Linked DNA regions of Oryctolagus cuniculus. The protein of the gene in region 2 purifies or fractionates together with the protein of the main gene of each other region. This does not show direct contact. Links are inferred from orthologs where the notes say so. Each region holds a gene or a part of one and is shown on either strand. Other genes may lie near its edges. The genes, in order: CAMKK2 and OBSL1.

The links.
Region 1: the proteins of OBSL1 (region 2) and CAMKK2 purify together in Homo sapiens (affinity purification with mass spectrometry; 4 studies listed by BioGRID and IntAct, with this or other methods). This does not show direct contact. The link is inferred for Oryctolagus cuniculus from reciprocal best matches to the Homo sapiens genes OBSL1 and CAMKK2.

The regions. Positions count from the first base shown.
Region 1 is NC_091452.1:7,645,228-7,649,581, reverse strand, and holds the start of CAMKK2 (calcium/calmodulin-dependent protein kinase kinase 2), read right to left. Parts: upstream 3,064-4,354; 5' UTR 2,918-3,063; intron 2,505-2,917; exon of another isoform or gene 2,368-2,504; intron 1-2,367. UniProt on the Homo sapiens protein: Calcium/calmodulin-dependent protein kinase belonging to a proposed calcium-triggered signaling cascade involved in a number of cellular processes. Isoform 1, isoform 2 and isoform 3 phosphorylate CAMK1 and CAMK4. Isoform 3 phosphorylates CAMK1D.
Region 2 is NC_091434.1:19,956,332-19,960,563, reverse strand, and holds the start of OBSL1 (obscurin-like protein 1), read right to left. Parts: upstream 3,034-4,232; 5' UTR 2,764-3,033; coding exon 1,749-2,763; intron 766-1,748; coding exon 496-765; intron 404-495; coding exon 152-403; intron 26-151; coding exon 1-25. Other genes in the region: INHA (inhibin alpha chain precursor), read left to right, coding at 3,812-4,073. UniProt on the Homo sapiens protein: Core component of the 3M complex, a complex required to regulate microtubule dynamics and genome integrity. It is unclear how the 3M complex regulates microtubules, it could act by controlling the level of a microtubule stabilizer.

The DNA.
Region 1 (4,354 bases), on a different chromosome or scaffold from region 2:
CGGCGCCAGCACACCGAGTCTAGTCCCAGTCGGGGCACCGGATTCTGTCCCGGTTGCCCCTCTTCCAGGCCAGTTCTCTGCTGTGGCCTGGGAGTGCAGTGGACGATGGCCCAAGTGCTTGGGCCCTGCACCCCATGGGAGACCAGGAGAAGTACCTGGCTCCTGCCATCAGATCAGTGCGGTGTGCCGGCCGCGGCGGCCATTGGAGGGTGAACCAACGGCAAAGGAAGACCTTTCTCTCTGTCTGTCTCTCTCACTGTCCACTCTGCCTGTCAAAAAAAAAAAAAAAAAAAAAAAGTTAAGCAAGCTCCTGGCTCCACTTCCACCCCGTCCGCTGATGGACACCAGGGAGGCGGCCACGATGGCTTTGGTGCCTGGGCCCCTGCCACCCATGTGGGAGACCTGGATGGAGTTCCTGGCTCCTGGCTTTGGCCTGGCTCAGCCCCAGTTTCTGCAGGGTTTGGGGAGTGAATCAGTAGATGCAAGCTCGATCTCTCTCCCTGTCAATAAATAAAGTGTTAGATGTTTAGGTTGGTGTTACGTGGATTTTATAAGCGCGTGTGAATGTCCATTAACAACTGAGTAAGCGAAGAGCACAGATGGAAAGAAGAAAGGCCAATTCTAGCATAGCAACGCAGCCTCCTCGACCCATGGACGGGAGGGCGGAGCCAGCACAGCCAACCCGCAGCCTCGTCCGAAGGGGAGCCACTGGTGGGAAGACGGAGCTTCAGAGACAAACAGCAGGACCAGGCCCTGTGCCTCGGCGGAAGTGGGCAGTGGTCTGCCTCGGCGGAAGTGGGCAGTGGTCTGCCCGCTTCCCTCGGGCAGCAGCTCGGAGGGGAGGCAGCCTCTCCAAGCCCTTCCGTGACACGGGGTCGCAGCAGGGGAAGGCCGGCTCTGGTCCAGGTTAAAATCTAAAACGCCCTGGAAGCAGGCGTGCCCCCGCCCCAACCGTTCCTCGCTACCCCTCACAGGGGCATCTCCCATCCAGGCTTAGCCCCCCCCCCATGCCCTCCCCCTCCCCCTCCCATCCAACCTCCCCCCAAGGCCCAGCACAAGCGACACCTCCCTCAGGAAGCATCCGGGATTTACTCCCAAAGGAAGGGATTTCCCCAGAACTTCCAAGGTCCTCTGCCCCCTCCGTTCCCACAACTTTTATCCCTGGTGGTGCTTCCCGGTGGGGGCACCACAGGGCGTGTGGGATGCGGCAACTCTGCACGGCCACAAGCCAGGGTGCTCAGCACCACCCAGGCACCAGAAGCTGCCCCCACATTGTCCAAATGCTCCTGGGTGGGTGGGAGACAGCCCCCTGCCAAGAATAACAGCCTAGGTAGTAGGGGCTACATCGGCCCCTGACACCTGCAAAGGGCCCGCGGAGCTCTGTGCCCCTGGGAGACAACCACGGGCTCAAGAAGCTGCCAGCGGTGAGGCCAAAAAGGCTCTCGGCCCCGCCACACACCCAGTCGCACCCGGCTGTGCGACCCCGGGAAAGTCACTCAACCTCTCTGAGCCCGTCTCCAAACCGGGACTAAATCCTAGCCACCAAGAGTGCCATCCTCCATCTCCTCCCCATCTGCGCAGGATTCTGGTAGGCGTTAAGTGTGAGATGATGCGCGCACCACACAGCACAGCCTCGGGGCAGAGCAGGAATAAGTGCCGGTTATTAACGTTATTATTGCCCAAGTTAGGAGCTCGCCCGATGACGCCTATTATTCTTTATTACAAAAATGCGCCGAGCACCCTCATCACCGACGCCTGCACTCCTACAGGAAGGGGCTGGAGCAGCCATCTGACGCTGCGTCTGCCCAGCAGGCACAGTTTACTCCCAAAGTGTGTTTTTTGGTGAGGCGGTTGGAGCTCCCATCCCTAGGGCCTCCCCTCTCCCACCCCCACCCCGCCTGGCTGCAGCAGACCCCCGCCTCTTCAAGGAACAAAGGAGCCAGGGGGACCCAGGGCGCGCCGCCCTGGCAGAGCCAGCGGCGGGGGAGTGGTAAACACCACGCAGCTCCAAGGCACCTCAAGTTTCCATCGCCAGGGCGGCTGTCTCAGCTGAAGGGCGAAAGTTGCCTCCAGGGAGGCGGCCGCCGCGCGTCCCACCCGAGCCCGGGGCGCCCCCGTCTCGCGGCTGGCACTGACAAGTCCCCACCCAAGCTCCATCCCTCGGCCTCCGCCGCGGAGAGGCTGGGCGCTGGGCAACACCCCGCTGCCCAAGCCGGGCGGCGCCCCGGGGCCCAGGACCCCGCGCCGAGAGGGGCTGGGCCCAGCATCCCGGAGTCAGGCGCAAGGTGCCAGGGTAAGGCTCCTCTCCGCATTCCCCGCCTGCTGCAGCCCAGGCAAATTTAGGTCAAAAGGACCAAGGCTTCGGACCTGCGGCGGCGGTGGTCAGGGGCAGACCGTGCCCTGCGAAGCGGCCGAGGTCCCCACCCTCGCTGCTCTGCGGTCCTGCCACCCGGTGTCCAGGCGGCCGGGGCCTGGGTTTGCCCCAGACCAGCGCGCGAGGGGACGCGCCAAGTCCGCGGGCCCCACCTCCCCCGCGCGCTCCAAGTTCCCCCGCCTGACAACCGCGAGGGGGCTGGGCCTACGCCGCCTCCGAGACCCTCCACAGCCCCGGCCGCCCCGCGACACCGGTTCCAAACTCTGCGCCCGCCCCCCGCCACCCAGGCCGGTAGCGGCCCAGCCGACGAGGCCACCCCGAGGCCCCGAGGCGGACGCGGGGAAGGGGCGCGGGGGGCCGCATCCCTCCACGTGGCGGGGCGTGGGGTGCTGCACGTGGGGTCCCCTCCGCGGAGGGGGCCCCCGGGGCTCTGTCTGCAACCCCGGCGGCGGCCCCCTCGCCTCGAGAGGGCAACGGCGACGGCGCCCGGGGGCTGCTGCTGCGGCGGTGGCCCCGGCCCCCGCCCGGCTCCCGCCAGCTCACCTGGGCTCCGCGCCGCCGCCTCCCGCGCGTTGCGCCCCCGGCTCCGCTCGGCGGGGCTCGCTCGGCGGCCGCGCGCTGCTCTCCGCGGTGCGGGCGGGGGCGGGCGGAGCCGCGGGGCCCGGCTCGGGCGCGGCGCCGCCTCGGGCTGCGCGGGGATTGGCCGCGGCCGCTGGGAGCCCGGGCGCGGCACCGCCCGCGCCCGCCACGCGCCGCTCCCTGCGCGCCCCCGCCGGCTCGGCCCCGCGCCGGGGCGGGGAGGGGAAGCGGGCGCCGGCGCGACGGGGCCGCGGCCAAGGCGCAGGGGCGGGCAGGGGAAGTGAGGCGCGGCCGCGGGCTCCGGGGCGGGTGCCGGAGCGCCGGAGGCCGCGCTGCGCTTTGCACCCGCCCGTCCCGCGGCTCTCGGCGCGCACCTGCCGGGTGCTCCTCCGCGGGCGGGCGGGCGGGCGGCGCTCGCTTTGTTTTAGCCAAACGCAGGGCGGCGCCTGAGTCTCAGAAAGTTCGCTGGGCTGGCTAAGTCCCGCCCCAGGTTTCGGGTCCCCCACCCGCGTTCGCGGCCGACCCGCTGCGCAGGGCCGGCCCCGGAGGCTGCGGAAGGAGTGCGCCTCCCACCCCCACCGCGCCTGGATGCGGCAGGCTGCCCGGAAGCCGCCCGAGTTCTGACTTTCGCAGGAGACCGCCCAGAAGCTTGGACAGGCTGGGTAGCGGTACCGCGAGGGGTGGGGCGGGGAGCCGGACCAGAGCGCACGAGTTGTCTGACGCGTGGCCCCGGGGGCGCCCGGAGACCTGTCCCGGGCGGACAGCGACCCCAGGCCGCTCTTCCCGGCCCTGCCGTGCAGCCCCTCGGGACTCGGGAGCTGGGGGAGGCCGCAGGGCCCCCAGCTTCGAAGGCTCCTCGCGCGCTGGGCGGATCCCCGGCCCGCTTCTGTGGATTCCGGGGAGATGCCCCCCCCCCCCACTTTCCGAGTCTGGGAGGCCCTCTGCGATGGCCGTCTGCAGAGGGAGACACAAAACCTGTTCCACTCCTCCAGTGGTCTGCTCCACCTCGTGGAAGGGGGTGCGTTACCGTTGTTTGTCCAACACCAGGAACTCGCAGAGCCCCGCGTGGAGGGAAGAGCAAGGTGCGGAGCACAGGGCGCTGCGCAATCTCTGGGCAGTTTTTTTTTTTTTTTTTTTTTTTTGATTTATTTATTTATTTGAAAAGCAGAGTTAGAGAGAGGCAGGCACACACATGCGCACCCGAGAGAATCTTCCACACATCGGTTCACTCCCCAAGTGGCTGCAATGGAGCCAGGAGCTTCATCCAGGTCGCGCACGTGGGTGCAGGGGTCCAGGCAGTTGGACCACCCCCGCTGTTTTTCCAGGCCATTAGCAGAGAGCTGGAGCAGCCTGCACCTGAACCAGCGCCCATGTGGGAGGCTGGCATGGCAGGCAGGGGCT
Region 2 (4,232 bases):
GGGCCTGGAGGGCTGTGCTTGACGCCTGAGACAGAGGCACGGTTCCCCTGTGAGCTCTGCTCAGCCTCACGTGGCCCATCTGCCTTGAATTTGCTTTGCCTGCCAGCTCAGACAGCTGGTCACCCTCCCGCCTGGGCCCTCCTGCCCTCACATTTGACTCTGAGCAGAGTGGTGGTCCGGGAGTTGCCCAGACTGAAGGTGACCTCGCCAGCATCTTCCCGGGTGACCCCCGGAAGTACGAGGGCATGCATGTGGCCACAGCTGCTCTGGCAGGTGGCTGGCAGCTCCTCCCCATCGCGGCTCCAGCGCCCCTCCACCCCAGCCTCTCTCGTCTCCACCAGCAGCACCGCGTTCTCGCCCTCCAGGACGTCGAGTTTCCGGGGCAGCCGCTTCAGGATGGGCCCTGAGATGCGCAAAGGGAGAACATCCATCAGCTCCGTGTCTGGGCGCCTGCCCGCCTCGGCCTCCTCACACCCCCGCAGCCGGCCAGCTGACCTTTGACCGTCACGTTGGCCACCGTGCGCACCCGGCCCCGCATCTCGCACAGGTACACGCCGTCGTCATCCGCTTTCAGCCTGTGGATGATGAGGCGGCGCACCGTGCCCTCCTCGATCTGCTCGTACTTGCGGCAGGGCAGCAGCCGCTGGTCCTCGCGGAACCAAGCCGTGGGGATGCGGGAGTTGGGGACTTTACACTCCAACACCGCAATCCCATGCTCCCGGCCCTCCACATCCTGCAGCGGTCTTGCGAAGCGGAGGCGGGGCTCTGCAGGCAGGGGAGAGACGACGGAGAAGGCGCTGGAGACGGAGAAGGACCGGACAGGGCGGGGGGCGGCGGTACTCCTGAACACACATCAGCCTCTGCTGTTTGTTCTCTTCCCAGGGCCAGCAGGCACTGCGGAATCCCCGCAAAGCCACGGGCAGGGAAGGCAGAGAGCCTCAATTCTCATCTGATCCTGACATGACCTCAGTTTCCTTGCTCGTGTGGGAATGCAAGGGGGACAGCCTGGCCTAGAAAATGAGGGGAAGGGAGGGGAAGGGAGGGGAAGGGCTGGACCGGATCAGTGATTTTCAAACTCTTCCCCCGCTGAGGCCTCTAGGAGGTTCCTCAGAGATTCCGCAAGGGCCTCTGAGTTCAACTTCGTTTTTAAGGTATTTTCATCAGGTTCGCAACTGAAGGTCAAATGTAAAAACACAAGATGTTGGCAATAACCAGAGGGTGAAGCTGTGTGTGCAGCCCTGGGAAGTTTCTCTCGCCTTCCCATGGGGCTTCTTCCTCCCCCTCTCCCCGAAGAGGGACCTGAGGCTTGGTGCCGTGCGCACCCAACTGTGCCAGCGAGGCCACCACTGCAGCCCAGGGGCCCCACGCTTGTTTGGGTGCCAGCCCGAGGGTGTCATCCGCTAGGATGCGGGACTCGCACCCCCAAAATGCTTTCCTCTGTCTATGGTGAGAAGCACGATGGGAACTCAGTTGGGGAAGGAGGAAAATAACAAGGTTGGAGAACGGTAGGTCCTCAAGTTTGGCACGTCAACCTTCTCTTAGTGGTTTTCACCATCTGCTTCGGAATCACTTGGAATTTCGCTAAGACTTCCCAGTGCCCTGGAGACCTCCCAAATCCGAGTCCCTGGAGGGGGTGGGAGGCGGGCAGGGTACGGAGTCCTCTTGCTACTGCGGGCTTCCCTCCCCCGGTGGGGGCGCTAGAGACGCCCGGCCAGGCCCCGGACGCCCCCCCCCCCTCCAGGCGCTACCTTTGACGTGCAGCTGCACGGCGCTGAGCGTCTGGCCCGCCGAGTTGCGCGCCGCGCAGACGTACAGCCCGCGGTCTTTGGCCTGGCAGTAGAGCACCTTGAGCACAAAGCCGCCGTCGCGGTCGCGGTACATGAGGCGGCGGCGGTCCGGGAGCAGGGGGCGGCCCTCCCAGTGCCACTCGATCTCGGGCTCGGGCTTGCCCATCACGTAGCAGCGGAACTTGGCGTGCTTGCCCTCGTTCACCCAGAAGGTCTTGGGCGCGCACTTAAGCGGCTCCACCACGGGCGCGGGCTCCTCGTCGGCTCCCTCCGGAGGAGGGCTCTCCGGGGGCTGGTGCACTTGGAGCAGCGCGCCGGCCTGCGCGTGGCCGTGCGCGTTGCGGGCGTGGCACACGTAGACGCCCGAGTCCGGCAGCCGCGCCGCCAGGATGCGCAGTGCCAGGCTCGCGCCCTGACCACCCTCGGCGCAGCCCCGCTCCAGCACGAAGTGGCTGCTGTCCCACACTTCGTCCAGGGCCATCCCGTCCTTCTCCCAGTACAACGTGGGCTCGGGAAGGCCCCCCACCTGGCAAGTCAGCACCACCTCCGCCCCCCGCAACACCCACTGGGATCGGGGCCCCGTCAGGAACACCGGGGCGCCCTCCCCGGTCCCCGGCGACGGCAGCGGGCGCTCGGCGAGCGGCGGCTCGGGCTCGGGCGCGGGCGGCTCCAGCACAGTGACGGCGGCCGCGGCGTAGGCCTCGCCGGCGGCATTGCGGGCGCGGCACACGTAGACCCCGGCGTCGGTGGGTAGCGCGCCGCTCAGCAGCAGGCCGTGCTCGGCGCCGTCCGCCGGGAAGCTCAGGCGCTCGGAGGCCGCCAGCTGCTGGCCGCCCTTCTCCCACACGACAGTGGGCGGCGGCTCCCCCAGGACCACGCACTTGAGTTCGGCCTCGGCGCCGCTCACCACCCGCACGGGCCGCGGAAAGCGCAGGAAGCACGGGGGGCTCCCCTGATCCCCCGAGCCCGCCTTCATCCCGGCGGCTGCAGACTAGCCCGCAGCGGCGGAGGAAGAGAGGGCGGCGGACGCCCCGGAGGCGGCGAGCGAGGAGCCCCGGGTGCGGGGACCCTCCCAACTCTGCCCGGGCCGCCCGCTCCTGCTCGCCAGCTTACCCTGGGCCCGCAGCTGCAGCTCTGCCGCGGCGGCGGCGGCGGCGAGTCCCTAGCCAGAGCCCCGAGCTCAGGGGGCAGTCCTTCCTGTTTGCCTTTCCAGCAAGGGGCCCCGCTGCCTCCTCGGCCCGCGGCCTGGCTTCCTGCTCTGTTCCCAGCCCCCTCCCACAGCCTGGGCCCCTTTCCCCTCCTCCCTCCCACCTCCAGCCGCCAGGTCCCCAGCCACCCGCCAGGCTTGGCCCTGAGTGGCAGAGGCGCCTGCAGCTGCCAGTCCCAAAAATATTCTCTGATGACACAGCTGGAGGACAAGAGTCCAGGCCGGCTTCTCCAGGCTAAGTATAGAGCAGGCGGGACCACCTGCCCCCTGCCCCAGCCCTCCCCCCACAGCTGGCCCCCAGCAGTTGCTTGTTTGAAAGGGGCCCCAGAGGAGCCGGGGCTGGTGTATTGTGTCCCTGGCAAATGACACTCTTAAGGGGCTGGCTGACCCCAGGTTTCAGGCTCCTGTCCTACCGATGTCCTACTGTGCTAGGATGTGACACACACACACACACACACACACTTTGTGTATGTGTGTATGAGAGAGAGAGATGGTATGTTTGTGTGTGTATGTGTGTGGGGTGGTCAGGTCACTTGGGGTGAAAACCCTCCCCAGCCCCCTACCCCGCATTCTTGGCGGGAGTGGGAGATAAGGCTCAGGGCCGCAGACATCTGCGTCAGAGATAGGAGGTCTCAGTGCCATGGACAGGGGCACTACGGACTGCAGGGCGTGGGAAGGCCTGGGCAAGCCTGGGGTGAGAAAGGTAGAAGAGGGCGGGTGGGGAGATGGGGAGGGAGAGCAGGGAGACTCCGGGCAGACCCTGACAGAAGGAGCGCAGGGAGGGTGTGAGTCCCCCATTCGCAGGGCCAGGTGAGCTATGGTGCCCCAGCTGCTCCTCTTGCTGCTGGCCGCGCAGGGCGGGCATGGCTGCCTCGGGCCGGAGCTCGACCGGGAGCTTGTCTTGGCCAAGGTGAGGACCCTGTTCCTGGACGCCTTGGGACCTCCGGCGGTGAGCGGGGCAGGTGGAGCTCCTGGAGTACGGCGGCTGCCCCGAAGACATGCCCCAGGAGGCTTCCTGCACAGGGGCTCAGAGCCAGAGGAAGAGGATGTCTCCCAGGCCATCCTTTTCCCGGCCGCAGGTAACTGGGTGGGAACTGGCAGGGTGACCTCAGGAAACAGCCCAGGAGGACTGCATGGGCTTGGGGGCCCGGCAGACCTGGGATTCAAGCCCAGCCCTGCCGCTCAGCCAGCTTTGCAACAATGGGCCCAAGCCTCTGTCTCCAGATCTGTAAAATGGG